Linked DNA regions of Styela clava. The protein of the gene in region 3 purifies or fractionates together with the protein of the main gene of each other region. This does not show direct contact. Links are inferred from orthologs where the notes say so. Each region holds a gene or a part of one and is shown on either strand. Other genes may lie near its edges. The genes, in order: dual specificity tyrosine-phosphorylation-regulated kinase 2-like, centrosomal protein of 78 kDa-like and E3 ubiquitin-protein ligase UBR5-like.

Region 1 (10,784 bases), on a different chromosome or scaffold from region 3:
AACATATACATGTAAGTACTGCTATGCTTTATTTCAAATAATTTACCCTCTGGCAATACTGATACTCATATACATGACAATGAATATAAGAGATAAGAATGCTATGTATACTTCAAGGTAAGCTATTATGCTACATAAATGTGCATAAGCAATTGGAGATTATCTGAATTATTTTGAAATTTACTCCTAAACAAAGGACATGTTATGTAACACAAGTTAATGAAATGGTAACTAGTAAATCAATCATTCAGGTAAATTCATGAGTGCCAATTAACTACATATGGCAAAATGCGCAAATTGTATTGGAGAAATACCATTATATAAATTATGTACAAATGATTTATTCATACTGAATAGATTACCCGCTCAAAAGCCCAGCTGTTACGTGTTAATTATTGAATACCGGTATGCAAATTATGTTTGATGACATTATTATACAGAAATCAGGATAGTTTGAAATTCCAGAATTTAGAATTTTCTAGAATTAATTTTGATCCCAATCATTCTAAAAATATTCTGTTAAGAGTAAACATTATATATACAAATTGTATTCAATAGACATTGGCAAAAATACTACGAGGCAAATCATGTCTTATAATCTCAGAAACAACAACGAGATCATGAATATAGGTTGTTACTCATTAAATCACATACCTTTATTCCGCTCCTGCCTTGCTGCTTCAATAAAATATTTTCAGGCTTCAAATCACAGTGAATTATACGGTTTCTGTACAAAGAATCAAGGCACTGAAGAATGGAGTGAGCAAATTTACGAACAAGCTGTAAAAATAATAGGATTTTATTACCATAGGATACACAGTTTAATAAAGCTGTGAAAGAACGGATTATTTATTAACTCAGTAAAGCTGAATTTTACAAAAAATCAAGTAGATCTTGAGGAAATTATACACTTCATGTTAAAATTCTTGCACAAAAATACATCTACAGACAGCAAGTGTTTGCTTGTGTCTCCTATAACAGCAGTGTGGCTTTCTTCTACTGGCTTACTTCCAGAAATATTTAAGCAAAATTACCACAATAAATCAATTCACAGTATCGATCATTGAAATAAAATGTGACATTCTTATCATGACATTCTTCTTGATAGTGTGATGTAACAATAAATTGTGAGACGAAACAATAAGCAATTTCCTCATAGCATAATTGTTACTAATCCATCATCTACATGGATATTAAACCCTTAGTAATTAATCAAAGATTGACCTATGAAAATTTTATGAAAGCATTCATGTAATAATTCTAATTATTCTCTGTTAATAAAGAGTATTGGTATTGATATACACCATTAGTATTTAATAATAGTAATATTTGGCATGTTTTCGTAAAAGAGCATAATTTGTTATGAATCTATCAATTATAAGCAACATTGATCCAGTATTAACCACCCACTCTATTCTCTTTATTCCATATAATAGCATATACAAGTTGATTGAAGAGCAACAACACAATACATATATAAATATATAATAAAGACTAGCAGTCTTGGGTGTGTTTTTACTTCTTTCCAGTCTGATGACACTCAAAGGTTGTTAGGAAGCAATGTATACACTAGTATTCAACAAGTAATATACATTATACGTAGCCAACCAAGCAGATAAAATGGAACAAAAAAAGATGTGAGAATTGGCTATGACAAAGTGTGAATGAGTAGTTCTTATGAACAGACCACTGGAATGGAAAATTAGAGTAAAAAAATCAATGCTGAATGGTCAATTTTTAGCTGTCTAATTAAAAATCCAATTTCGTTTAATACATTGATCAAAGCGCTGCATGATTTAATGGCAGGCCAAAAAAAGTATGTCTATGATTAAGAGTAATGGAACAATTTATTTTCTATATTCAAATACATTGTATATAGAAATACTTGAAAATAAAAACGTTTACAGTATATACCTGAAGTGAAAAGCCTTGGAACTTATTTTTCTTTATCAACTCATAAAGGTTTATGCTGAGCAATTCAAACGTCATACATATATGATTTCGGAATGTGAAATTCTCCAACATGTGAATGACATTCATATTGTTATCCTGTTGTGATAAATTTGAAATAAAAGATGAACAGAAATTTCTAGAATCAAAAACAAATATTTGCTCATAAAACAAACATTCTAATACAGTCAGTTGGTTATGGAAAAACCATAAATTTCTACAGAATTACACCAAGAAACAAAGCATAATGTTATATATTGTAACATTGCCAGGATAATCTTAATTACTGTTAACAATAGCTGGTAATGAAAATATTGATTAAATGGGTAGACAGCTTCACAAATTTTCTATATTATAATCAGTTTATATAGATTAGACTTTCCATAAACATGAAAAGCTATGCATAACACCATCTAACGACATTCTCCTTATGAATAATATATGGGGTGTTGATGAGAATTTATGCTGCAACAATACTGTATCAAATTTACTGGCATTTTACAAACATTGAATCTGAAATTGTACTCATCAAGTTGTCAAACTAAAGCATAGCCTGCTCTTGAACCATATAGCAGATTTATTCTTTGATTGATGGCATACAATTTTATTGTACTATGAAGTTTGATATAAGATGATACTTACCACCATATTCTATTGAAATTTTTCACAGTTATTCTATGGGAAACAATCACAAAATGCAATAGGAGACATATCATCTTATGCAATTTAATATTTATAAGTGGTGTTTTGAGGTAAAAGGGCATGGTAGAATATGATATGAGAGGAAGTATACTTCGTTCTCCGGATATTTAAAAGGTAGACAAATCTTTATTACAGCAATTTCCAAACAAAATTAGAAACGTGATATGCCGGTAAGCTGCACTGCTTATAACATTACAGCTTTGAGGAAATTTTCCATGAATATAACTACATAATGTGTAGAAAGTATATTATTATTATACACATGCATATATTACCTTATCTTGCTTTTTCAAATGCTCCAAAATTCTAATCTCTTCTGCTGCTTGTCTATGAAATCGTTTTTCATTTCGAACGATTTTTAGAGCAATATGTTGTTGAGTTTTATGGTCATATGCTTTTAAGACCTGCCATGTTAAAAACAATGAAATTGTAACATTAACTATATGTACATCGAGTATGTGATAAAAAAGTGAACATCATAATCCATTAATCAATAACGATATTCTTGGGATTGAATATCGATATTCCTGAAAATAAGACATGGTTATGAATAAGTAAATCATAAATTTAGACAAGCAAGATTGCAGAATGATAAGGCAATTGCAACAAAACTAAAATATTACCTGTCCAAAACTTCCTTTGCCGATTATCTTTAAGACCTCATAACGATATGTGACGTGGTCATGAGCAACAGGAATGTATGAGCCTTGCTCGTCATCAAATCCATTATTGTTAGCACCACCTACAACACCCTGCCTTTTCTTCGCTGTCGGACCAGTGTAAAAAATTTGGGGGTAGCTAAAAATTTCATGATGCTCATAGGAAGTCAGTTTGTGCATGTATTGTTTCATTGCTTGTTCAGGTGTGAGATAGTTTTGTTGTGTTTTAGATTTAGCTGAACCACTGGCAACTGAACCGTTTTCAACTGGAGGTGAGCCAGCTATTCCTTTTCTTTGTTGTGACATAGCTGCCAGTGCTCTGCGACTTGGTGAACCACTTAATTGTACTTGTTCATTGTAAACATCCTTAGCACGTGTGTCTTTAACTAATGGCAAGGAAGGCCGTCTGCCTGCACTTCCATAAGTATGTTTGGTCTGTCGAGCTGCAGCTCTAGTACCATCGCCATGTTCTTCATACAATTGCTGAACTTTTAATCCTCCTAAACCTGCGGTAATATCGTTCATCCCTCCAACTGTTTGGCTTTTAAGTGGCGGTAAACCAACATGGTTGACAGGATCTTGTACAGTCCTTGAATGATGATTGTGGTGATGGCTGTACATACTGGTAAGAATATTCTTCGTCAGCATGTTTAAAAAAACTCAATGAAGTTGATTCCTTGCTTCTTTGAAAAGCATAGTATCCTATGGCTCAGATAACAGCAATTGATAAAAACACTAAAAACCTAAAATCTTTAGTGAAAAAATGTAATTTTTCCACCTATTGCCCCATTACATCTGTCCAATAAAACACAAATATTATTTTCGAATATCGGTTATAAACTAGCATATCAATATTAAACATGTTGGACACACTTCTTCTTTACTATAAATATAAATCAGATTTCCCAGTCTTCCCGACCTTCAATACTGCAGTGTTGGTAATAGCACAAATTTAATTTTAACCCTGAATACCATTTCAAAACATATAAATCACATCCCTTTCCTTTGTGTTGCCAACAATACTCTTCCGGGTAAATCACAACATTTTATCAGTTGTTCCTTGCGGTGAGTAAAGACAACTGAACGTCACCATGGGCTTTTTAAAAATTTTGGCACCATTCGACGTCTAGAGTAATAAGTTCGAATAAAAGTAAGGACATTTGCAGCTGTTGCATAATGTGACGACATCCCGCGAGAGACGAACCATTGTTGGTTTGACGCTGTCTGCGTGACGTAATCCACATATATTTGGCTAATTAGTCAGCTTTGATTCCGCCGAAATTTAAATGACGCACAATTATAATCACAAAAAACTTCCCGAAAGGATGATTTTGATACAACCATGAGAAACTCAATTTAGTCTTCTACGTATGTACCCGCGGAAGTTACCCATAAATGGACAATTCAAACTATACCTTCAGAGAACATCGCCACTGGCGTCCTGCTACCTAAGCTTGGCTTACCATTTCTCGAAATCGACTTCAAGCCGGATTTCTTCAAGTTCAAATACAATACTCCCAAGATTCAAGAGGTATCAGTTAAGAATTACGCGAATAAACAAACATGCTATTTATAAAACCTAATCCGAGATTTTCTGACAAGACAGCTAGTACGCGCGACTTCTAAAATACGAATCATCGTCTCAACTACACGCGCGTGGTCTTAGTAATGAATGTAGTTATTTAAATTTTCAGCCCAGGTTGAAATTGTACAATAATTTGTACACTGTCTATTTGAACTCTTTTTCGAAATTAAATATAAAGAAAGTCGTTTGCGTCGATACAAAAAACATTTATTTAAACAGGATTGAATATAATCCTACTCCGTTCTGTCTCAATAGATTGTAAAACTAATAAATTTATTATGCAAATACTTTTCGGGTCAATCACACAGCGAGGCAAAACACCTGTCAATTTACGGACTACTGTCTAATTATTCAAACCTCGGAATTTTTGATCAAACAAATTCAAACCCGCGCACATAAAAAAAATCTCGAGCCTGCTAACATATCTCCTACTCTTTGTATATAAGATTGTCTGCAATCCAGTGGCGCTAGAAACTTCACGTTTGCACTTTCAAGGTATTGCCTGCATCCTCAAAGGAAATATGCCGATTGCTCCGCTCCGAGTTACCCTTTCACGCGGTGTAACGGTAAGCATAGGTTAATTAGCTTAATATGTATGTGAAAACCAATTGCAGTTATTCTCCAACGCTAGTAAAGTTACCCCGTAATCATATACTCCGCAATTATGATATTAACATCCTTCATAGGGCACTACTGTACCGGATTCATTACGGGCAAACTCAATTAGGTTTCAGAGGTATTAAATGCTACAACCTTCAAAAATGATCCGGTAAATTTTCGTGACGACGTATTGCTAGACGAATCATGACCACGCACTGTTACACACTGCTTGTCATACAACAATACTGGTCAATCATTTTAACAGTTTCGTGATGAGTATGTGTCAAACGAACACAGATTGACTGACAAGCGTGAACACTTCCGCGTCGGTTAAAAAGTACACAGAAAAAAACGGTCACGGTATAGAACTGCTTCATTTGTGCTGCCTTGATCCCTAATACCAATCGGCAAAGCCTTGCAGGTATGTATCGAAAAAGAGTCATCCATACAGGGCCCATCGAACTTATCAGAGAAACATTCGCCCCCGAATCACATATACCGAGTCGAAATTATTGATCAAGAAATACAATTATAAATCAAATATTGTTTAGAATTATATTACCTAGGTCAATGATAATTTATAATTGAAAACTTGAGACGTGATTTCTGCCAGATAATTATGGCGCTGGACGTTCGATGATAGATAGTTTCGCTACTTGCAAAATAACGCCTGCTTTGTTTGTATATTAGCGCGAAGAGTTTCGATGGCGATATACATTTCTTCACCATTTATGTACCGCACCAATTCGTTAACACTTATAAAAAATAGGTTTACAGTACAGCATTAAATACCAATGCCATGCCGCGAAACAATCGGCTCATGATAACAACACTTTAATTTTAGGTCAAAGAGATTTAATAATATGCTTACTGGATCGTAAAATGACCACTCATATTATAACAATTACCATGGCGCACCATATATCATCTTTGTTAGATCTAGCAATAAGTCGCAAAAGCATAATGCACGAGCATAAAGTTCATAGACATTGATTTATTTGTCCGGACCGCGCTAAAATTAAGGATTACGTAGTTTGTGTAATTTACTGCACTTGTTTCGGCATTATTTTATTTCCAACTTTTGAAATTGTTCAAATATCTATCTTAACGAATAGGCCTTTTCATTTCTGTGTCCGGGCCTGAAACGCACAATTAGACGCCGACTAAACCATTAGGTGATAATCTTTATCATAGCAAGAGTTTCAAAGTGAATTGTGGTTGCAAACTAAAAGCTCTTAGCTGAGGGCAGTGGGTCAGATCACAGATATCTCTCGCGGTAGACAGAATGAATGCCAAGTCAATCTCTGGGGTAATCTCGTAACAACATGTAGAGTCGGGTGCTGGTATTAGAATTTTATTTATAAAATAATTACGACTTTATAATCTTGCGTTCTGATGAAGGAATTTATATTACAGATTTTTTAATATAATAATATTATATCTTTTTGTGGATGAAATTCAGCGATATCTTTGAATCGAAGAAAGACCGCGGTGGGGACCTATATTTATTTGACGTACTACATACTTCTGGAACAGTTAAACAGAAACAAGATCCCGAATCATAAAACCTTACGTTCCCATAGTCGGGTCCCTTTTATTACGAGTAATGCGCGTATATGCTTTCTAAAATGTTGGAATAATATTGATAATTACCATTAATTAGTAGTCAAAAATAGGTTGCCAATACTTTGACAAGCAGCACCACTATGTACCAATGATGAGCAAAAAAAAAATTATACGTAAAGTACTGTAGCTAAAACTTTTTTACATTAATGCACAACATAATTAAATAAATAATTACCCAAGGCGCCATGTATAAATGTGGGGGCAACCAGGCATTGGGTCGTCGTCCACAATAGATAACGGACACATCTATCATACAGTCGATATAGACAACATACCAGAGATCAGGTGTTATGAATAAGACAACACAGAAACTATCCTTTGATCTTATATATAATTTCACATTACTAAATACGTGCAAGCTCTTTGGGCAGTCAGTTTGATAATGCTTTCTAACGACGCAGCAACTAATTCTTTTTACTTAATATCACTCACAGGGCGGCTGAGAATATGATAATAAAGAGCTATACTGAATTCTATGTAGGTAATATAACCTTTACTTCATTCAGAAACGCACTGAACACGACCGGTCTTTAATAAAAATATCCGTGTACATTTTTCAAAAGCTGACAGATACATGGATACGTGTATACAGCTCGCTTCTATTGTTCGACTAGTTTAGGAACGCTGAAATCCTAGCAATGCCTGTTGCGCCTAATAGGATAATATTACATTTGTCCGTCCGGATCAATTTTCTCTATACCATTGCCCAATTCGCTAACCAATTCGAGTCGTTCATGCTTGGGCCCCATAGAGAGAAACGTATGCCATGCTTTTGGGCGTATTATATTAATAAAACACCTCGCAATCCCAACCGACCTTAACATGGCCTAAGTAATTGCTATTGGAAAATCGTATACGAGTCGTACCTAGTTAATGCCAATTAAAAGAGCAAGTCGTCTTTTAAAACCACTGCCCGCAGCCATAACCTCATTATAGCTCTATAACGACAGACCCTATTAAAAGATTGAACGTTCCAACGTTGACACGAGAACGAGCTTGCGTTAAAACTGACAACAGCGACTCACGTATATCTATTTAGAAGACATTATTTTAGATCGCACTAATGTGACAGCCAATAAAACTGATTGATGATGATCTGATTTACGACATTGACTCGGACAGTGAACAGTTTCTTGTTCAGGAGTAGAAATGAACAAAAATAAAACCTTTACATTCATTTGTGTAAATATTGCAATTGCAGAGCTACAATTCATTACTGGAAGGTGGGCACGAATTCATTTCTACTGAATGCACTTTATTACTCTAAGTTTCAAATGCGGCTAAAACGAGAAACTGCACGATACATTGTAGATGAGTCACATCTTTTCAAGTATACAACTATCACTTCAGTCATAATATACACATTCATATTCTAAAAGTATACTAAAACTATCCCACAGTGCACACAATATAAAGTCAACATTACCATAACTGTTATCAATTTCTCTCTACTAGTATGAAGAAGTAACTCCCACACAGAATAAAGTCAGACTGATAATTCCCCAAGATGGTCTTTGTAATATTAGCCAATGTCGCGTTTGATGTGTTATGACGACTTGTACGTGACAGCAGGTGTTGTGTCTATTTAAAACTATGGGCCAAGCATGTGCGCTGGGTGGAAATTACTATTCGAGATCGACACATCTACATCTATACTTGGCAAAGTTATTGCATAAACTTGACAAAACATAATGACAACCACAGTCACTTCCAGGGTGACAAATACGTTTGTAAGGTGTTAAGAACATGCGAACGGGTGATAATTTTAAGACCTGTTAAAAATACATAACATTATAACTATATAGTGCACTGATTTTGATGTCATTTTGATATAACACTTCCACGGCAATATACATTACGAGAGCAAGTAACAAGACAAAGTTAAATAATTAAATTGGGAACGAAGTAATTTAAAAAAAATTGTTCGCCTGAAGTTGTCCAATATATCTTGGCTAGCGTAATACGCAAAGTTTTTTTGAAAGCACTATGATTCCGTTCCGAAATTACATATAGTCCCATTCTTGAATCAAGATGGCGATTTTCACAAGTTACACGCCCAGCGTGTGAGAATGTTCCTGATACATATCACTCATGGGACTATTTTATCGTGTACCCCATGAAACATCGGTGACAAGGTTTCGGAAGTAATAATTTTCACTAAAAAAATCATCATTGTCCTTCCTTAATTTAGATATTCCAAACACTGTTCGACACAAAAACAAAACTTTCCACTGTCGTTCCAATCTAAACATTTGCACGAACTATCCGCTACACAAAATTCGATTAGAGCCAACGAGAAAGTCGATTCGGTTTAGCGTGATTTCCCAAGCGCCCGGGTTTAATCGCAATCGCGTGAGCCTGTTTATCATGAATTAAAGCCATTCGATTTTTCCTTAATTGCGGTGGTGGTTAATGAAGGCTGTGCGGACGCGCCTATTGCGTTATACTATTGTATAAATAGTGAAAATGAATTTGACGTTTGTAAGCGAATAACCAACCAATCTGTGAACAAAGTAAAGCCGCGTCACCGTAATTGGTATGTAATTACTTCATTTGACCGCAGTACTCGTCAAATTTCTGTTACAAAGATGAATAGTAATTAGCATCTCCGTGTGACTTCGTTCGCTAATACGGACATATTAAGCAGTGGCCACATATGGACCCCGCGTCGAGGTGTTAAATCTAGTTTTAAAGTCTATGCACCATAACCCTGTACAGAGTGGCCACAAACATAACAATAGTAGGGAGAAAAGTCGATCATAGTATAAACAATAATCAATTTCAGAATCGAATTTATCCCAAGAATTATGCCAATCGTCACGAACAAACGGCCTTAAAGTACTTGTAAAATTGTGCCCAGAGTACAATAAAACTTCTTAAACCGGGGGAACGATTTTCTTATTAATACGATTCCAGCGGTTTCGTATACGTCAGCAACAATACTTAATAAGTGCGTGTAAAATAAAGTGAGACGAAGTTAATTTGATATTAATCTGCTATCTCCAAATAGTATTATTTCCAAATTAGCATTAAACTTAAACTTTATTCCCGCGTGATGGTATAGTCATATTAAATCGGAACCGAAGAAAAATGAATAAGCCCACCATCCTTCAACGCAAGCATGAACCTTTTAAATGTTAAATTGGGTAATATCGACCAACACCTTTTTAAAATGGGAAATTTATCAATATCCCCGGCGAATTACTATATTTCTTGAACAATCAATTTTTTTCGTCTCATGCTGGTGAAGTAAATAATTATACATCCTTCTATCGAATATATATGAAGGGGGAATAACCGTAGTTAATATAATATGCTATTTAGGCCAGTGGTCGGCAACCACCGGACCGCGGCCCATCGCCGGTCCACGGAAAGATTACTGCCGGTACGCAGAGGTCACACAAAACAGACAAGGCTGTAATAAAACCTCCACAATCTTACTACAAACCCTATGAGACTAAAAACACGCCCAACAGCAAGCACAACACTTTTGAGCATCGTGTCTGACTTCATAAACAATTGACAGTATGTCGCAATAACGCTGGATCAATTGTTTTCTCTACACTCATATAAGAATGTCTCTCATCGGTCGAATAAGATCTTTCCAACAAAATGATTCTCGCTAAAAACGTGACTACTCCATTACTGGCTGGCAGCTAACC
Region 2 (10,656 bases), on a different chromosome or scaffold from region 3:
TCCTCTAAATGAGATCTGTTTGGATCTATAATTCAAATTAGAAAATGACAATATAGACTTGAAATAAACCTTTATCAATTTGGCTACAGCTTCAGCACTTTTGCATGTAAGACCACATCCTGTGTAATTCAAATGAGTCAATGAAGAATGATGTTTCAAGGCTTCACATATTTCTGAATAGAAACCAAAACGATTGAAGATTACAGAATAAGATTAATACAGGGTGTCCAAAAAATCCCCGATTTAGCAATTAAAATTTTCTTTGTCTTTGTTTATTAATAGTTCTGATTGTGCTTGTAGTTCTCATTTATCATACAATAAAATATATTTAAATTTACAATCGTTATTACTATAAAATCGTGCAAAATTTCCAATTGTTTTTGCTGTTAGATCTGGAGGAATTATTACTATAAGATGGGCGAACTTTTTAATTGTTATTACTATGAGATTGGGGGAAATTTTTGGACACCCCGTATATAAAAAAAAATGATCAAATAAATAGCCCATTGTAAAAAAACACATGGGTCAATCGAAAAATATAAAGCTCAATGTTCCTAGTCATAAGTAATAAAGTGTCCAAACATTATGAGTAATTAAAGAGCATCTTCACTCTATGAAATATATTTCTGGTCATACCCAGTAATATTATAGACCAGCGGTGTGCAGCAATTTTATGTTTGAGGGCCATATAACCAACTTCAGACATCTAGCTGGCCCACACAAAAAAATTAGTTTTTCCCCGTACAAAACAAATTAAAAAATGAATGACAACCAGAGCACCGCGAAAAAGGCAAGAAAAGAGAATACAGCTATCGCTTACCCTTCTAGTAATAAAGTCACCAACCAGGCAAAACGGCGAAAGATTTAAGTCAGCGACAGTATGTTTTTTTCCCTGTGTGAGTGCATTTTTAAACATAAACTGTCGGATTAGGATTTTTTGCTTGATGGGGAAAATATGGAGATGGGAGTGTTGACACGAGCCCCACAAAATGGCTTGCGGGCCGGTTTGTGGCCCGCTGGACGCATGTTGCACACCCCTGTTATAGACTATCTACTCAACGTTTACTCAAGTGTTGCTGACTTTGTACCGTGGTTGAATTAAGTATAGTGAATAATAACTATTCTAATAAAAATGATGCATATAAAATGTTTCAATGTTATAGGACATATCAAAGCTCAAAAAGAGCTTCAACTATACTTACGTTCACATCCTTGATCTCCTATATAGCAATATTCCAATGATACATGAGTAAGTGTGGTGTTTCTTTCAAGCCCCTATAAACATAATTGATGATATAAAAAATGGCTAATAAATTGAATTATTCAAAAACAAGTAGAATAAATCTCACATTGAAAAATAACAACTCATAGCAAATTTGATCACCAAAAATGCTAAATCTCAGTAAGACCAGTGGCAAAAATATAATTTGAGAAACGGGATGGCACAGCAGTTAACATGTTCGACTTAACTGTGATGACATTGCAGACTAACATCTTGGGTTCAAATCTCATGCCCCCCGTATCATTAGTGTGTAAATTGAGAAGCCAATATTGAGCCTGAATGATTCTGGTTTTTGGAAATAATAGAAGCTTTCTACATATTGTTAGATATCGGAGGGATACATAGAAGGCCTTGTTTGAAGCAAAAGCCAGAAAAAAGGAATGAAGAATCGTTTTAAAAAAAAACCAAACACTCAAAACTTAGCAAACACCACCTTTGACAAGAAAGCCAAATCCTTCTTTCGAAATGGAATTCCCTGCAAGTCCAAGCACTTCAAGTTTTCTGTTTGTTTCAAACATTCAGAAATGGCTTGAGCTAATCGCAGTGTCATATCCTTGGATTGAATTGCTGGTGGTCGACGCTTGAAATAATGAGATTTCTTTTGTTCCCCTGAATAAATAGATCTTGTGTATAGTGTATTGTGTATATAATACAAATATACGTTATGGGCCTTATGGCAGATAATTGATAGGTGGGTCGTGGGTGAATAAAAACCCTGAACCTACTCCCAGCATCACATAAGACATAGAATGAATAATCAGAAGCATATTAAAGCTGCAAGGTAAATATATGATGATTACTTGTCTCAGGTGAGTTGCACATCTTGATTTTAACAATATTAATAATTTAACTGTAGGCCTATTAATGAATTATATTAATAGCTACATGTGTTTTCCCGTTTGCATACAGCTTCGGATATGCTGGTGGCAACTAAGGGATTTTGAGTTGTCAGACAAGCGGATATTAAAGCACAATATCTCAACTGGTAACAAACAACTCAGAGAAAACAATGACCCTTATATTTATGTCGTTTTAGATATGATATAACATGAACATATAGTGATTTATGTAATTTTCCACATGAACTTGCCCCCAATTTGTGCATTCAATATTTGTTCGTAACAATGAAATAGTCGGTTTTAGCCATCCCTGGAACACATATATTTCGTGAAATCTCTATTACCATATGGTTAATAAATTAATAAGAAGTACATAATACTTTTACTGCTAGTGGTTGACAGATCTGAAAATAATTATTTAACAAGTGCAAAACTGGTAAAAAATATCCCATATTATATATTGAATAAATGGTTAGGTAACCAGGTAGTTCAGAATTCAAATAGGCTACCATTTACTATTTTGAATATCCTTAAATTGTTGAAATTAACAAAATGAAATATACCATCCTTCTCCGCTGATTGTGAATAGTAGCTTCGAATTGCAATAAATCTCAAATTTTTGTTTATCCGAAGTGAGTTAAGAACAGGTGACCAGTCAACCAATCGTATTTTATCACTGTTTATGTCAAGCACTCCTTGACCCAAATGTGCCTGCAAAAATAAGTTTTTGTTCAGTTATACTTTTTTGACCAATTCCTTTGTATATACCGGTACATCCAAAAAATTTCAAGATCTAAAAGCACTCGATATACAGACATATAATTACTTAATGTTAATAATGATAATTGCTGTATAACTTTTAATGATCAAGACATTGTGATCAGCTTTTCACAATACAATTTTGAACAAAAATGAAACTAAATCAATAAAAGAATACATCACAGTCCCACACTGATGCCAATAAAATTGAATGGAAACCTTTTGAACAGTTAGAAATATCTGAATAAGTATATAGTTGGAAAAATGAATTACGTATTAATGTCTTATTAGTTAGAGATAAGAGTAAGTAAGATCATTTTAAAGGTAGCTTTTAGTTGAGCAACATTAGAATTTAGTAACCTATAATAATTTAGAAATATCAAAATATATCCTGTCCCTTACATCATATGAAATTTCTCATATTTTTGGAATCAAGATTTTTGATAATTCCATTATTTAGTGAGAAGTGTTGAAAATATTTTGACTAGTGTGGGATTCCTATTACTAGGTTGATGCCATGATGCTTGCAAAAAAATGTTACATTTGCTAGATACAGAGTTATGACAATACAAAATAAAGAATAAGTAGCCCAATTAATGAGGTATTATATACAATGTACAATAAGTATGATAAGATTGATATTTCTTGAATGCATTTTTTTCATTTGATGTTAAAATACTGAAATAATTTTTAATCTAGTCTACTTTAAGATAAAATATTCAAAATCTTTATTCATAACAATAGCCTATAAACTTCCGAAACTTTGCTGCAATAAATTTAGAACGCCATGAAAGTAGAATCAATCAATGCAATGGCCAATGAGCAGATGTATTGTGAATAATTTAACATTACCAATATTGAAATAGAAATTTATTTATGAAATATTGAAAAAATAATACACAGCCATGAAAAGGAAAATGTATTCATTTGTATAAAAAAATTCATATTTCTATGAAATATGGTGTCTTTTTCACGAGTAAGCAACATTCAACAATGTCAAATTATTTATCAAGACTTCTTACCTTCACTTCAAGCAATGGAACAGTATCTTGCAGAGAACATAAACTACTGTAATGTGTTTCAAAATCATATGAGCCACGGTGTCGAATAGAAACACTTTCTGGAGCGACTGACATTATCTGATTCTGGCTTAAATTTCTGAATTTATGTGACTATATTCCAGATATTAGGTGGAAAAAATGCTCATAGTCATACAGTAGTAAATTGCGACAATTCAGAACTTATAAAAAAAGTTCTTTTCCTTTGCTGTTACAATGATCAATCCTCAAATTACAATAGCGTAATTCAAAAGCCAGAACAATGCAGAAAGAGAACAATGAATGAACGACCGCACGACAGTACGAAGAAAGTGAATCGGCAATCCAACGTTTCTTTTCAGTTCAAAGTTTGTTGTTTCAATGGCTTACTCATGTGCATCGAGGCGCATCGGTCGCCCTCTCAAATATATCTTTTTAGGTGACCGTACATTTGAACCCATGTAGGATAGGATTTACATATTTATCCCGGAGGAGAGAGGAAAGCCGATAAGACGGCTTATCCGTATGGCAAACCACGGCCTCTCGCCCGGTTACCATTCCAAGTCGGGTATGGAATTAGTTTTTACTGTATTGTTTGTTTTTTTCGGAAGCATGGACTTGGTGGTGGAGGAAGCCGTAACCGACCAGCGGTTACGTGAACCACCCAACGACGGCGAGGTGTCCAGCAATCCTCTCGCACATAACCATCCCTGCATGGGATTCGAACCTGCGAACCCACGCAGAGTAATTAGAGGTGCGATGGCGAGCGTATTCCTAACGCTTAGCCCGTTGAGCCACACCGCCGCGCCGAATGTACCAAATGTACATTTGAACCCATGCGTATATCCACGGGTTCAATCTATATGCGGGTGCTAAAACCCATGGGTTAGGGTTAGTATGGGTTTAACTATCCGTGAAACAAAAAAAATTCCATAGGTGCAATAGCATACAGGTGCAATTGTCATGGGTTCAAATGTACGTGGGTTCAAATGTAATGGAACCATTTTTTTATTTTATGCATTGAGATCGGTATGTTAGTCGTTGATTGAGATGTACGGTATGGAATATGGATGTTTACCCGAGACCGTCGGTTTCCTTGTTTATTTCCGTAACAATGACCAATCGGCAATAACTCAACAATGATGTAACAATTGAATTTCGTGAAGCCGATCGGACACTTTATTCGCTTAGAGCCTTAGCTTAGACAACCATTCAAGAATGGGTGTAAGCATCAGAGTTGTATCAATTACATAAATTCAGTTCAATTACAATTGCAATTACTCCCTTAAATGTTTTAATTACATTACAATTTCAATTACTCCGTGCAAAAAATATCAAATTACAAATACATGGGCCTTTCCCCGACCTTTAACCCCCGAAAAATTCTTCCTATACTTTACCATTGCAAAATTTTCGGGGCTATTTTAAGAGTGCTTTTGCGAATTGGCGCCTGTAAAATGGGGTATGTGTTTCAAACCATACAACAATCTGTTTTTTAAAAGTACCGGTAAAGAATTTTTGCCTAGTCCATCAGAGCTATTTCTACACTAATTTTTTATTACTGCGATTAAATTAAAACTCCTAGGAAGACAGAGTGATCATTGAATTATCTGATTTATATTTAAATTTCCGAAACACAACAGAAAACTAACGAATAGAGTTCAAAAACGCGAAAATGAGGTAATGTTTACGACCACGCTTGAAAATTTGTCTGAGTGAGAAAAGTGTCTGAGCGGATGCGAGAAGGGAGCATTGTTACGTCACTTTTCGCATCTTGCTGATTGGCCAATGTCACGAAGTAAACGAGGAAGTCGATGCTCAGGGAAAGGCCCATTACAATTACAACAGAGCAATGCTCAAATATATGGACACGTTACACAGAGCGAAGCAGTCCTTACCCTTGACGCTACCGCTACCCTCAAAAAAAATTCCGAGTTTCGCGTAGAAGCGTCGCGTCGCGAGAAGGCAATATGATAATTCACTTATTTGATTTAAACTTAAATTTCCGAAACACAACTAAAAACTAACGAATAGCATTCGAAATTGCAAACTGTGATATTGTTTACAACCACGACTGGATGCGAAAAGGCATATTGTAACGTCACTTTTTCGCATCTTGCTGATTGACTAATGTTACGAAATAAAAAAGGAAGGCGATTCTCGGAAAAGCCCCTTGGAAAAATATTTCGCCCTTTTTCGTATTATTGCGGGCTAGATGAAAGGACGCCGTAGTTTGGTGATCCCTTGTGTAATTGAAAGTGTAATTGAGCCAAAATTTTAGCAAATTACATTTACAATTACAAGAAAAACTGTAATTAATTACATCAATTACAAATTACAATTGATCCGACTCTGGTAAACATTGCCTTGTTTTCGTTGTTTTGCGTGTTATTTTTGAGTTTCCGGTTGTAGTAAATCAAATGACTTAATTGTAATTATGTCTTTCCACGAGCTATTGTTTAGTTGCAATAATCAAAAACTGGCCCTGGAAAAGCTACAAGGGACTAGGCTACCTAGCTATCTGTATCTGTAAGCAGCAAAGGGATGAATACTTTTATAAAAAAAAATGATGGTTTTTAAAAGGTAAACCAGTTTGTAAGCGCAAACTCGCCAAAATTGACCTCGAAAAATTTGTAAATTTACTGGGGTCAAGGGTCGGAAAACATTATGGATAGATGGTAAAATTGAATTACTGTAATTCAATTCTTCCATGAGCAACTACAGAATCTTGAAACACATATTAAAAACACAATCACAAATAAATGAATAATATCAATAACCAAAAAATTATTCATGTGCAGATTTTTTCCACAAATTTTCAGGTATGGTGGTGGTGAACATTAGCTCGTTTGATTGATTTAGTATGCTATTTTTTAGTTGTGTTTTGCAATGGTGAATTGCAGAGAACAAAGTTTTTTGGTACCAAAGGTCGAGGAAATATCCATTGTTTAGCAGCACCCTTCTGAGATTATTAATAAAATAAAAACTTAACGCGTTTGATGTCGACTCTAGTGAAACTTCCATTAGTAATTAAGAATTGGTTATATCTAGAGACAAATTTGAATGTTGAGTAAGTTTCTAAAATTGCGTATAAGAGATAAGTTTTCAGTCTTTACACTCAGTATCCCATTACATTAATATTAGTATAAATATAACTATGAAATAATTACAGAATCAAAATTACGAAGATGAAACGAATATATATTTATGCATGAAACAATTCAGGTAAACTTATGTATAAATTTTATATTATTATATTAGTTGAATTGTTTTTAGGCCTACTATATTTATATTTTTGAATATTAGAATTATTCTTCAATTCCAAAATTTTATCTCATATTCAGGTATACTTTATCATTATTTATTGTCTTAAATTCGAGCATTCCCGTATTCGTTTATTTGTTCACTTAATGATATATCAAATGTGACATTCACTGATCTTGGGTAATTTATATTTATTGGATACGAAATGAATCTATTGATCGTTTTGTCATTTTGTATTTTACCTCCTGTTGTTGTGAAAATTTATCTTTATTTATAAGACCAATTACTGAAATTTTCGCTGATCAAAGATTGTTGTTGTCGGCTATTACTTTGTTGTTTTCAAAAATTTCTGTGAACTCAATGTAATTCGATTTTTAATAGTATGTTGTTGATAGAGGTATTCTTTTTTTCTTTTTGTTTCCGTGTTGTTATTATTGTGGAAGAATCGCTTTTTTCATTAATGGACCAAAAACTTTCAAATTTTCAGAAATTTTATTTGTGGCTAGAAGCCCATTACTTTTATTTAGTTCAAAAATTTCTGTGGACTCTATGACTATGAGATTTGTTGCGTTCTGGAGGTGGGTTGAAGTCCGGAGGACTACAATAATACATTTCCGGTACTGTGAGAAAGATTGCATACCCGTACTACTTTGTTTTGGCTTCCGTGTCCATATATTTGAGCATTGCTCCATTGTTTCTTGAAGTATTAAGTCAACAGACACAATCAATTTGTTTTATTTAGATTGACATTGAACAATTTATACAGTTATTTTTTGTAGACAATAGGGTATGTTCCACATACCAGCGAAGGGGGCATATGTAGGCACATTCATATCAAGTTAAAATAAAATTTAGTAATTCTGGCAAAGATGTTAATACCAGCTGTTAACAGGACTCAGATTCTTTGCATTATGAGAAAACGAGGGAATCATAGCAATACATTTCCTGACAGCTGTGAATGATCCGAGTCGTAGGCTCGTAGTCCGAAAACAAGTATTTCACCGGACGTTAAGTTTTGATCTCGTGTCGTGCTTGATAGTCTTCTAACTATCAGAGAACGAAATTAAGATAAGATGTCATGACTCTACCTTAAAAAGAAGATACAACAGAAAGGGAACTGATCAGGTAAAATTGCAAAAAATAAATTGGAAACTAAATATCACCCACTAGGGAAGTCTGAATTTTTCTGTATGTGGTTTGAGAGTGAGGATGAGGCAACCACGGAAATGATTTCATAGAGATCCATCCCAGGACGGGACCGCTTCCATCTGCATTATATTGCACAACTGAAAACGTTTTAGTATCTTGGCTGACTCATCTACTTCCTATCCATTATGTGAAATCACACCATATTTTCTTCTGTTAATCAAACACAAATTGTTTAGGCGAAGCAAAGCTCGATGCTGTGTGTACAAAACTGGCCGTCGCTGAATCATTTGGCTGAGATTTGTCTCCGAAAATGGTCATACATGCTGTAGGCTAGTCATGACACATAGACAAGATATGGCTATTTAATTTACAACCCTGCCCTGAATCAGGCTCTGCATAAGTAACTACTGAAAATTTGGTGTGTTCAATCAGATATATGCTTGGAAATAGGGTCTGTATAAGCAACTAGATCGAAGGACAATAGCATTTTACTCTGTGATTAAATTACAGAAATGAGAGCATTAGAATATTGAAACAAAGAGTACGAAGTGCAAAACAGCGCAAAGGAAAACCAGTTATATAGAACAGTGATTTTCAACCGATGTTCCGCGTCAAATAGTTGTACCCATTTTTTGTAAAAAGAAATCGAAAATTCACCAAGCACATATTTAGTTTTTAAGAAGATTTTCTTGCGTGTAATTAACGTTTTCCTCGAAACGGACTTCCTAGTTTATTTCCGTGACAATAGTTAAAAAGCAAAACGGACACGTAACATTTGAAATTTAATCAGACGCTATTTTCAAGCATTGTCGTGAATATTGACTCGGTTTGGTAATGTCAGGCGTTATTGGTCAATTTCTACATGTTTTTAGAATTTAGGTTTGAATCAAGCTGTCATTCATCTTGTTTTAAAAAATATTGCTTGAATCTTGGTCACGCGGGGGAACCTTGGTCCAATTGAAGTAATGTAATAAAAAAAAAACGATTACGAAAAAGTTAGGATATATATATTAATAAATATATATTAATAAGTGGACTAGATTCATTTTTTTTAATGACAGCTGCCCAGATATTCAAGAAGATGGTATTGATTTTAAAACTGTTTGCAAATGCCGTAGCACGTAGAATACTCTCAAAGGAAGCATTAAAATTAGTCAATGACAAAAGTACAGGTAGAATTTTTCACGCGTGAAAGACTTATTTTATTTATGTCTAAATTTTAGAGACATTAATGAAAACTGACAAATGTTACATAGAACCGATCTAAGCGGCCGCCCAAATTTTAGTTTTATTGTATTGCTGATTGGTCATCAATACGTAATAAACAAATCGATACCAAAATATTCGTTTGGAGGCTTATGACATCGGGAGAATAATTTAGTTAGCTATATCAAGGCAGTTTATTAACTTATTTATAATACAGACCGCGCGTTATATCATACAGATAAGAAACCAACAATCATTGAAGCTCACCTAAACAAGCTCATATATCATATTAATATTGCATCGCTATTCGCTACAAACAGCCAGGTTGAAATTGATTCCTATTGGCGTACTCTTGTTCTTTGTAGTGATAAATTTAAATTTGTTAAATTAACGTCTCTTTACAACTCGAGTCATAAGCTATTGGTCTTGCTGTAATCTTGGTAGGGATTATCGTGTTTTCGGATAGTTTCCAAAAATCGAAGATTTTTTCATATAGTGTTTCGCGAAAAATTCGTGATCTAAGTGTTACGAGGTTCCAAAAAGGTTGAAAATCACTGCAAATTTGCATAGGGAAAGAGGTATTAGAAATAATCAAGCAATATTAGATTTACCGAAAATTCACACAGTCCATTTTCAACAAAATATTTTGGGGGGTTGATGGGGCAACTGTTATTTTTGCGCGGTTTGTTTCTGTGTGCACAAGTTTTTTTGTTCTGTATTTTGCGCTTACTCTTTTCATTCAATCGCAATGATGACACGCCAAAATAAACGATATCCCATTGGAGAATCCGGAAACAGCCCTCTGTTCAAATAGATCATATTTTTCAAAATCGAGACAACGAGCTTCTGGAACGCTACATGTTTTAATTTCTACGTAGACTAGGATTAGGGTTAGACCTCAGACTGTACCTGGGTAGGCAACATATAGCCTAGCTGAAGACCTCTAGCTGTAATACTACCTAATGTCAGTATATTTAAGAATAAGAATTAAAGACGAGATCTGATTACATATAATGGCAATAACGTTGACTTTTAACTTCTAAAGATAATAAACGATTTTTCGATAACGCCGACGAAGTGTTCTCTACAAGGGGCCAGCCAGTCAAGCCTTATGATGAAG
Region 3 (11,160 bases):
CAAACTATATTTCACAACTATATTTCAAATACAAATGTATTTGTATTCCTAACTATGAGCCACACGGCCTAAAACGTAGAAATATGGAAGGAAATCAGATTCCCCGCTAAAACTGACCTTTCACCCTTTTCCAACCAGAATTAGACTTCGATTTTTGAGAAGAATCATCTTGGTCAGATTCATAACCCAAGAATCGTGGTGCACGGAGTCTGATTATTGGATCCCTATCCTGCAATACATCTCTCGCACTGGCGCCACCACCACCAGACGCTCCATCTCCACCTGATGCACCAGTTCGTTGGCAAGAAATTCTGAATAAAATGTCGTCAAGTGTGAGACGAGGCAAAGGGATTTGTAAATAATGCAGTTATCAATAAAGGTGGTCATATTGAGGGCAAAATCAGAAGATATGAAATCCTAGAGTGGGTAGGCAATCTTGAACAACGAGGATTACAATCTTTCAAAAACAGTGTCTTTTTATATATATGATAGTATACATAGAAAACATTGTAGAGCCGTTCCTAGACCTTCATGATTTATGAACCCTTCCAAAAATTCAGCACTTTGCCCCATCCTCTTCTATAAAAAATACTATTTATGCTTTTAAGGTATTTCCATCAGTTATTTTATATGAACAACAAACGAAATCAAAAAACGATTGCATCCTTGACTTATACAAAGCCTTGTTCAGAATGTACTTTCCAGTAATTTGAAATGATTGATAATGAATTCAGACTATGTAACCAATTACATTTATCTCACCAATTAAGAATAAATTAAAACATACGGTACTTCTATTTTATATATAATTTGGAAGCAAGTACCATATTTTACAGAACATAAGGCGTATTATAAGGCATACTGTCAATTCGGCTCGAAAGTACTTATTAAAGCAATACTGCACTGGTTTTAAGTTTAGACAATGAAGCATAAAGCACTACCCGATTTATATATTAGACGCATCGGCTTATAAGGCGCACAGTCGATTTTGAGAAAAAAAAGGATTTAAAATGCGACTTATTGTCCGTTAAATATTTACAAGATATTTAGTTTTAGCCATCAATGACTCTGTTATTAACCAAACAGAAAGAAATAAGTAATTACTTTGGCAAATCTTCTAGCTTTACTGCCATTAGAACTTGAATTTCAGGGAAATACATAATGAACGGCAGAAGAACGTCAGAATCCATTAAATAAAAAGAACACAAAAACAAACCTCGGTGCCCGTTGAAAAGTATATCCAAGTAATTCATCTGGTAGAATAGCATCAGAATCAATGAAAACTCCGTGTTCACCGGGATGTATTCCAGAATCAAGTAATGATAAGAGATCTTCACTTGGTATATAGTCGCTACCTGTTGTTTAAGCAAAGTAAAACCAATAATTTTAAAATGAGTGCTATCGGTTAGGTTTATGCGAGCGCAGAATTAACTACTTATCAGGGTTATGGAGTCTGAGAAAATTCACAATCGACTGTGACTATCGGTAAAGAAAAATTTTGACCTCCGACTCAAAACTCTATTTTGATAACTAATACTTTGTCATATGCAAGTTCCTTCAATGCAACTGTTGAAAATGATTAGTACAGTACAAATTTTTTGTGAATTAAACAAGTATGATAACATGTAAATGCAAATTTTTTTTTTCAACACATAATATTATTTACAAAAATGATCTTAAATAACGGAAAAAAATTGCCACTCCTAAATCGCGACTCACCGTTATCATCCATGTCATCATTGTCTTCATCATCACGACTCAGCAAGTTATTAACAGCCAAATTAACATCGAGGTTTGTTCTTTGAAGCTCTCTAGTTATAATACTCCTGGACTTGCCTTGTAGTATTCCCTGAATATAAAAGTATAGAAGATCTAAATTTGTAACTCAACATCTCCTGAGATTAACACCCATCCATTTCCGATTGAAAATTAGTCAAAACAGTCCATGGATGACCGAAACGGAAAATCCAACATTCCTCATATTTGTGAGTAGTGTTACTGATATTTAGTAATATTGTAATGTGAATGAACATGAATATTTTAGACATGAATATCAAACAGAGCATCAAGCATGGCAAGGATGAATGTGAGTTTCAAAAAAGCCAAAGGGAGGTGTGCCTTGAAACAGTTGTAGACTGTTACCACAAGTGATTTAAGTCATTACATCACCCGACCATTGTAGCAGTCCCACATTCTACATTAACTACACAAATACCTGTACTTGGTTCACCAACTCTTCAGGCACATGGGAAGCAGGTACAATCACTCTCTGTCCAGTCAGTAACGAGCTTTGTAATCCACGGCCACGCAGCTGAAAACAAACAGCCCAATTAAATGTGTGTTAATAAACTGGTTAGCTTACGTAACTCATTTTACCTGCAAATGTTCCCACTTGTAACAAAATTTTTATGATAGTTTTTTATAAAAACATTTGCTTTGTGGTATTCCCCAAGTAAACCTGTGTTTTATAGAACATTGTTCGCAAAATCAGCAAAATTGAGAATTATATTTATGTTTTTTATTTCAATTTAAGAATTCTATTAATTTGGTAATCCAAATCAAGTATAGGCATCCAAACATTGATAGTAACTAATTCCATACTGATACAAAAATTGTTATGTACTGTCAAGAGTCAAATCAACTTTTCATATGGATTAAGGTGCACAACTCAGAACACTTGGCATTAAACCATTAGACTTAAGGGTACTGCTGTAGTGTGTGTACCAGGTTAGGGTTAGGCCATAATTTTGTTCCGATTTTCCGTATTTTAGTTCTATTACAAGTTCAGGGATTGTCTGTGTTATCCAAGTGAATATACCCCCTGCCCATAGGTTTCAGTCCCTTTACATAACTTGATGTAAAGTAGGCGAACAAAATTAGTAACCTCCATATTGGTAGTTTGGTACACACATACTTCTGGAGCAACGACTTAAGTGTGTTGACATCGCAGGTTACACACTTAAGTACAAATACAATGCTCAATAATGAATCAAGTGTACAATGCCTGATCAGACAAATAGACAAATTTCAGTCCTTCCAAAAAATGCTTGTTTTGAGCAAGATATCGAAAAGCACTGTACACAAAATTTTTAATCAAAATTCAACCTCACAATGAATTCACTCTTACCTGAGAAGTTCTTACAAGTCTCACTCCGCTTGCGCTTAGAGAAGACGCTGCATCTGAGCCGCTGTTTCTTGCTCGATGTCGAGCAGTTGTTGTGCTCGCTGATGTTACTGATGATGAATTGGTGGTGGCAGAAGAAGACGCGATCGAACGAATCACCCCAATATGTGTTCCCCATCTTCGTAGAGCAGATGAATGGCCACTGGATAAATCAGTGCCTGATATTATCCATGGTGTGCTACCTGTTCGAGGAAGTTTCGGTGGTCTCTCTCCTAAAATTGAATATACGAAGGACAAATTATTAAAGATGAAATATTAAGTTATTTAATTACAATGACACCAACACATTCTGTGTTGAATTCAAAACATAAGTCTAACAACCAGAACTGTGGAGTCGGAGAAAATTTACAATCGACTTCAACTTTTGGGTCAGGATTGAACAAAGCTTTAGCTCTAATAACGCAGAGTTGAGAAATATTATCAATCTGATTCAGATCCAGAATTCTGAAGAATTTCGACTTTGAAAATCAAATTAAAAAAAACAACATTCGCATATATGTGCTTTCTTTAATAGAAATTAATGCTTTTTAAGTTTTGTTTCACTTTATCACCATTGAAAGTCCGCAATACAAACAAATTAAGAATTTTGAATCAGACTCTATAAATGCTTGAAAGTTCAAAAGTTGAAAAGGTTTGATCAACTATTCTTCAGTTTGCTACACTTATATGAAAGTGAAAGTTATTCTTTCCATATGATTTATTATAGTATGTGAAATTATCAAAATATTATACCATAAACAGATAAACTGATATCTCACCTGTTTTACTTGTAGATGTTGATTTACTCGCACCAGATGTAGCTGTGGTAGTAGTTGCTTCAATTTCAGGTTCTTCTTGTGGATCGTGGGCAAAATATTTTACCCGACAGACTCTTCCATCCTCGAGAAGAAAAGCAATATGCTTCGATGAAACCACACATTGCCTGATAATAAAAATATATAAAACAAGATATCAGTGGCGGCTTGTACAGAGACTTGTTTAGAGTGTAAGAGACAAATGAGTGGCATATATATTATTGGGTATGCAGTTACTACCAACAATAACGATATTCACGACGTAACAAAGTAATTCAACTCTTGACGTTATTAATGCTTTTCGATTCACATTAATTATTGTTTTCCCACATGAATTTTAAATAGTCAAGTAGCAAAAATCGCTTCATTAAGAGTTATTTAGGATTATTAAGACTTGTGGAACGAAACAGCAAGTTCCTCATTGATGCAGACTGTGGATGAATCTATGACCCATATTCCTCTTTTTCATGATGAAAATACAGTGTTGAGCCATCCAGCAAAAGACGTTAGCTACGCCTGGCCGAAACTATCAAATTACTGGTTACTATCACAGATAAGTGAGTTGAATACATGAAACATATTAGACATAGATAATATTTGGTCAGGGCAAACCTTATCTCATATTGTTGAAGTTCTTGTAGGACTGGTGGTACATCCTCGATGGACGGTGCATAGAAACTTCTCTTTTCACTGAGAGCCTGTAACCTGGAAAACAAGTTTTCTATCGTTATTTACAAGTTAATGAAAAAATTACAGAACACACATTCAAGTATCATACAACATACTGATTCTAATTACCGACAAAACAACAATTTAATATAGAACACACTAATTTTGCACTATCTGATGAGCTATTTAAAACCGATTCAATTACACAGAGGTTGCGTGTGCTTAGAACATACTTGCCTTTGCACCATTAAGCAACATGGATTCAAATCCACTGGGGGAATAATTATGTGCAAGAGGCTTGCTGTATTCTTAGCACTTCATGTAACAACTGGGCAGTAACATCATCCTCGACCATCAAGTCCATGCATCTGAAGCAAAAAATTCTCAGCTACTCCCATACCCAACATAGGTAACCAAAGGGTGTGACATGATTAACATATGATTGAGCCGTCTTTACTCTTTACTATATTTCTATATGACAGGATAAATATGAAATACCATTCTAAGTAAAGGCTAAAACAACTTTATAAAATAGAGAAATTCCATATTACTTCTCTTGAAATTGTTCTTCATTAGCAGGTGACTTCTGAACAATAAAGTGGATGCTGGACTTCGACATGTGTGAGCAAATTACCACACCACTTGATCCTTTTGTACTTTGTAAAAATCGTAGGTCTATATACGTTTTTATGTATATCACTATACTGAAGCGTATGAGCTGTGACATAAAAATTTGTGATTGAAAATTATAGTAATTCAGAACATTTATTCAGTCAACTACTTCCATCTTCAAGAAATAAAAATTAGAATTCTACGAAAATGAGATGGAACCAGCGCTAGTGCCGATTAACCCACATTTTCATGAATGGAAGAACACATCACAAGAATAAAGTCTTAAACAGCATACATGAACAAAAGAATATAAAATTCGCGGGAATATTATTTGTAAACTAGAGCTGCGTGCAGCTTTTACAGACTTCCCGCGTAAAAAAAACTGAAGACGCGTTTTTCTCACTGGAGCGTGAAAGCGTGGTCAGTCATGCATAAAATTTGCAATTTATGATGGGGGACTTATTATATGCATGTGATGTAAATTTCAAGTCTCTCAGTAGTGTCGTTCTCGAGAAGAAGATGAAAATCCTATATTGCTCACTGGAGCGTATCGCCGAGGTTACTCATGCGTATCCTTGATATGTCGTATGCGGAACATGTCCATTAATCATTGTTATGAATTTCAACCCAATAGCATGTATCAATTTTGAGAAATCGCAAAAAAACTGAAAACGCGTTTTGTTCACTGGAGCGTGAAAGCGTGGTCAGTCATACATAAAATTTGCAATTTATGATGGGGGACTTATTATCTGCATGTGATGTAAATTTCAAGTCTCTAAGTAGTGTCGTTCTCGAGAAGAAGATGAAAATGTAAAATCCTATAGTGCTCACTGGAGCGTATCGCCGAGGTCACTCATGCGTATCCTTGACATATCGTATCCGGAACATGTCCATTAATCATGACAAGCAGCGGGAAGCCTAATAATGCAAATTGATCATAACTTGGAAGTCAATTAGTAGTCCTGTAATGGAACGACAACATGCATTCAAACCTCATTTTAGAATTTTTTGTGTAAATGCCACATACTGCAGTTCTGACATTACACACACAGCTGGTTTTTAGTTCACAGTTTTGTTTATAAAAAAACTTGCAGGCAACCTGACTACAAAGTGAAACGCCTGAGTAATGGCCTCCGTCAATATTCATGTTCAGCCTATGACTGTATGACTTCTTGCTTTCTTCTTCAGTCCGCCATGTCGGTGAGTGAACGCGCCTAATAGGGTTTAAACTTATTTTATTAGTGTTATTCACTTCCCAGCTTCTTTGCCTTCAATCTTTCCTGAACATATGTTTAATTTGTTTTTGCGAATGAATCGAAATAAAATCTATTTTGAAATGACGTAGTTCTGGCATAAAAATCTAAACGTTCCGGTTTTAATTTCATCATACTTTTTTAGACTTGCGCTGTCGAATGAGATATACTGATGCAAAATCGCTGGTCACCGGAGCATCAGTATTACTGATAACGATACGGTATATAGGTTAGGTGTAGACTACGAGAAAGAAAATGAAAGTTAAACCGGTAATCCCTGAAACCTCGTGTTAATGCATTCCTTTTAACGTTACGCCGTGCAGATGCAATAGGCAGAGATACCTCTGATCTCAGTCAAAGAAGAAAATTCCCACGCGTAAAAATAGATGTACCAAGTAGCAAGTACCAACTGACTTTTTTTTTATTTTATAAAAAATATTTTGATTAGATCATTGGTGGGACATAAAGTAAATCAAATATCAATTCTAATACATATTGAAAAAAAAAATATTTAATCGATTAACTTGAAATACAAACATAATCACGCCCTAATTAATTTTACTTATAATTACCTGTACTGTCATTGATTATTAGTATTTAAAATTATTTGGACGCTAATTTGGCTAGTTTTGGCTTCTATTTGGTCAGTGAAGCAGGTATAGCCCACTTCTTCATATATCCAACTTGGCAATACTAATGGGGCAATTTCGCATTAAGTGACTCCAATTATAATCAGCTTGACGAGGAATACTTTTCTATCCACAGTATATTATTCATGTTGGCTAATTCGGTATCCAATTTGGCAACCCTCATAAAATTATTAATTTGATGTGGTAAAAGAGTTTACTTACTTCTTTTTCATTTGTTTGTATATTTTTCTTTTTACTGAGTAATTTGATTGATTTTAATTCTCGCTTTTTTCACTTCCGACCTTATCATGTCTCGATGATTGTGTGCGTGTGTGTGCGTGCGTGCCTTAATTACTTTTTTTACTTTTGGGTGAGCGAACACGTACTATTTCTTTTATCAATACCTTTCCATCTAAAATTGGCACGCTTCAAAACTTACTTGAGATTTCCCGATTCTATAATCAGTTACTTTTATTTTTCGTTTTTATCTATTGTAAAGTTGAAACGTGAATTCCAATCCACTCAACGTTGTTGTAGTGGAGTCCTATTTGCATCCGCCCCCACCTTGAAGAATTATGCGCAATCTCCCAGCTTCTAGTAACTGCACAACCAAAGTAAAGAGGCAACGAGATCCTTAGAAAACGAACTGTATTCATCACTCTCCACATACAGACATGTGAGTAAAAAGTTAAAGATATGTATGACAATCACATGGTATTTAAAATTAAAAAAAAATAATAGCGGCTGTGGAGTATGAAAAGTTCAAGACAAAGAAAAGAACAAAAATTCATAGCTCATGAACTCTCAATTTTGCCTCCATTACTTTGTGAAGGCCAATATATTTCGAGTGGCTGAATTAGTTTACCTTTATGATAGCAACGATTTTGTATTTAATATAGCAAGATTTTTTTCAATTTAATTGAATTGATATTATTTCCCAAAGCAATGCTTGAATCGTCTAGAATGGATCAGTGGTGTCAAACTCATGGGTTTTCGAGAGCCGCATTGCATTTTGGAAATTGTAAAAAGGGCCGCAAACAGTTTTTGATAATGTATACTTGAAAGATATTTTTAAGATAGTTTTAGTTTGTGACATATGTTGTGATGCAACTAAACAGTTGGATTAAGTTTCATTATTTTCTTTAATTTCAAATGCAATTACATATTAATATTTGCATTCCACTATTATTGCAAGTTACTGTATTTATTACAAAAAATCATAAAATTCTATGTACATCCATCAAAATCATTTTGAACAAACTTTGGATAAGGAAAGAATAATACATACTTTAAAAATTACTTAATTTAAATATATGGACCTAAAATTAACAAAAATACTACAGTATAAACTCAATGATTTTTTAATTACATTTGTCCTGACGTTTGGTATCTTTTTTTGTGTCACCAGCATACTGAGGCCAGGCTGAAATGATTTTATAGTACCAACTCTAACTAACGAGGTCACATGATCATGGGCTAATTTGGATCTTTGCGAAAATTAATTCCAGTAATGCAAAAAAGTTATTTTTATAATTTCATGTAGAGATCAGTAAAAAAACACATGACAGATTTTTTCGACAAGACATTTCGCACCACATTGCGTGGCATTGGATTGCTTGAATTATTATTGATATTGATTTTAGTAACTAAGTCGTTGTATAATTATATTAATATACAAACACATGAAAATTTTCTGTTCAATGTGCTTCAGAATTTTGTGAAATGCAGAAATATTGCAACTCTCATTTTCTTTGAAAATGCCACCTTCTTCATGTACTTTGCGTTTAATTTAATCACTCAAGTGTTTTATTCAAGTATTCTTTTGCTAGCTTGATGTGTATTCTTAATTGGGTCAAAATGTGAACAAAAAAAATTAATTTTCCAAAACTACTTTCAGTAAATTGTTTTCTGTGTGAATAATCAATTTCACTTTAAAAGGTTTGAAAAATCTATTATGCATACTCACGCTTTAGAATTTTTTGTTATGTTCCTTAAGCCCTGCAGGATGTGGGGGGCATACACAACTCTATCGGAGGGTCAAATGTCTTTGCATGCCTTTATAGGTTGTTCTTGTATTGCAAACATTTATGGAGTACTCTAAATATACTTCTTGCAATCACACGGTCACTGATATGTCACCAGACTTCTGATATCTCCTTTTCTGCTATAGTTGTCCTGTGGATAAATAATAGGAAATTGAGATTAGACGATTTGTTGAAACTTTTGCTTTATGTCGGCTTTATTTCTTGATTGATATACTTACTATTTTTGCTATTGCCTCTTGTGCTGCAGGAGTCTCACAATGCTTAGACAGGTTTGTCCACATTCACATCTGAAGAAAAGAAAGAGAGGAGATTTATTAATTTTCGTCAAGAATAAATGAAGCAGTCTATATGATTTAGAATGGAAAAGCTAATAAATCCAATATCTCATGTTTAATGTAAAAAATGTTTTACTGAATTTGGTATATAAACCAACTAATACAGGAAATTAGTCAGAAAATTACAAGCATTCGTGGCTCCATATACTTGAGAGATCAGACTATACAATACAGACCGGTATGAGTGAAATGTTAGGTGAAATTGTTAACCCTTTGATTCAATCCTCACTGATTAAAAAAAATCTAAATGGAGGTGCATGAACTATTTGAAACCATACGGGGTAAGTAAATATGCAATTTCGGCAAATGGGCAACTACGTACCGTACTGAATTAATAACTTCGTAGTATTTGACAAAAGCTGGCTTTCCCTTATGTACTTAACAGTGCGATGCCCGGGTGTGATATACAACAATAGTATTTACCTTACCTTTTTCCGATTTCCTTTTACCTCAACTTTCCAAAATATCATTAAAATCGACAACAACTGTCAAAGCCGGCACGAACACCATTCGTGCTATGCCTTGAAAGCAGCACACATCCGCTCGTTTTCGTCTCGTCAAGTATGTGCATTGGAGCGTGCTATCGGATACGATCTTCGGCCAAAAATGCCGTAGTTGCGCATCATGTTGCTTAATGTCATTGATTGCACGTGCAAAAAAAGATAGGATTTACATATTCATCTCGGGGAAAGGAAGACCGATAAATTGACTTAATCATATGACGAACTGCGGCCTCTCGCCCTGTTAGAATGGGATAGGATTTACATATTCATCCCGGGGGAGAGGAAAGCCGACAAGACGGCTCAACCATATTACGAACCGCCGCCTCTCGTCCGGTTACCATTCCATGTCGGGTATGGGATTCAATCAATTTTATTTTGGTCACTCTGAAAGAAACAAAACAACAGAAAACGGACAAACAAAATGCAGAGGACGGGCATAACCTAAGGAAAAAGTTAAAAACATACAAGTACGTGCCCGTCCACTAAAAACAGTCAAAAGAACACAATAAAAAAAAGACACGATATAAAATCGGGCAATACCTTTTAAATCATTTTAAGCGGTGGGAGGATAACGTTGGTAATTTTCTACTACTTGAATAATAGCAAGTAATTTCATTAGAAAATATATGTAATTTAATATAAACCATCAATGAATCAATTTTCACGTCATGAGACGGCAAAAATCAATTCAGAATTCTACAATGTAATGGTCTCCACGGATTAGTTAATTATTTGTTTTCTTCGTCTATCTCCCTTCGGAAATGCGCGTTACAATAAAAGAATCGTAACATTGTTCATGTTGAGTATAATTCTATTTTTCCTATTTTGTCATAGCTCTCGCTAGGGGAGAAGTTGCAACTGCAAACTTACGAATGCTATCCGTTAACTATGTTTTAGAATGAATAAAAATGGATACAAGAAGCATATTCAACATCAGTATCGGACTAATAAATTAATTAATTAGTATAAATACATGACAATAACATTCTGCGGCCCGTCGCATCTTTTGTGATTAAAATGCGGCCCTTTCACCCGGGATGTTGAGTACCTCTGATCTATAATATACCACAAGAAGTTTTACTGTAGATTATTTTAAAGGCAACATTGCGTGCCAAACTTTTTTACTGCTCAAGGCG

What was found.
Region 1: the proteins of E3 ubiquitin-protein ligase UBR5-like (region 3) and dual specificity tyrosine-phosphorylation-regulated kinase 2-like purify together in Homo sapiens (affinity purification with western blotting; 3 studies listed by BioGRID and IntAct, with this or other methods). This does not show direct contact. The link is inferred for Styela clava from reciprocal best matches to the Homo sapiens genes UBR5 and DYRK2.
Region 2: the proteins of E3 ubiquitin-protein ligase UBR5-like (region 3) and centrosomal protein of 78 kDa-like purify together in Homo sapiens (affinity purification with western blotting; 3 studies listed by BioGRID, with this or other methods). This does not show direct contact. The link is inferred for Styela clava from reciprocal best matches to the Homo sapiens genes UBR5 and CEP78.

Annotation. Positions count from the first base shown.
Region 1 is NC_135256.1:16,016,266-16,027,049, reverse strand, and holds the start of dual specificity tyrosine-phosphorylation-regulated kinase 2-like, read right to left. Parts: upstream 4,109-10,784; 5' UTR 3,960-4,108; coding exon 3,276-3,959; intron 3,057-3,275; coding exon 2,928-3,056; intron 2,050-2,927; coding exon 1,915-2,049; intron 781-1,914; coding exon 655-780; intron 1-654. UniProt on the Homo sapiens protein: Serine/threonine-protein kinase involved in the regulation of the mitotic cell cycle, cell proliferation, apoptosis, organization of the cytoskeleton and neurite outgrowth. Functions in part via its role in ubiquitin-dependent proteasomal protein degradation.
Region 2 is NC_135252.1:10,889,088-10,899,743, reverse strand, and holds the start of centrosomal protein of 78 kDa-like, read right to left. Parts: upstream 4,294-10,656; 5' UTR 4,017-4,293; coding exon 3,903-4,016; intron 2,833-3,902; coding exon 2,685-2,832; intron 1,892-2,684; coding exon 1,716-1,891; intron 1,276-1,715; coding exon 1,203-1,275; intron 174-1,202; coding exon 70-173; intron 1-69. Other genes in the region: carbohydrate sulfotransferase 10-like, read left to right, coding at 7,129-7,142. UniProt on the Homo sapiens protein: Centriole wall protein that localizes to mature centrioles and regulates centriole and cilia biogenesis. Involved in centrosome duplication: required for efficient PLK4 centrosomal localization and PLK4-induced overduplication of centrioles.
Region 3 is NC_135263.1:5,824,946-5,836,105, reverse strand, and holds the start of E3 ubiquitin-protein ligase UBR5-like, read right to left. Parts: upstream 5,362-11,160; 5' UTR 5,267-5,361; coding exon 5,199-5,266; intron 4,684-5,198; coding exon 4,591-4,683; intron 4,107-4,590; coding exon 3,943-4,106; intron 3,397-3,942; coding exon 3,128-3,396; intron 2,312-3,127; coding exon 2,216-2,311; intron 1,850-2,215; coding exon 1,720-1,849; intron 1,356-1,719; coding exon 1,217-1,355; intron 312-1,216; coding exon 118-311; intron 1-117. UniProt on the Homo sapiens protein: E3 ubiquitin-protein ligase involved in different protein quality control pathways in the cytoplasm and nucleus. Mainly acts as a ubiquitin chain elongator that extends pre-ubiquitinated substrates.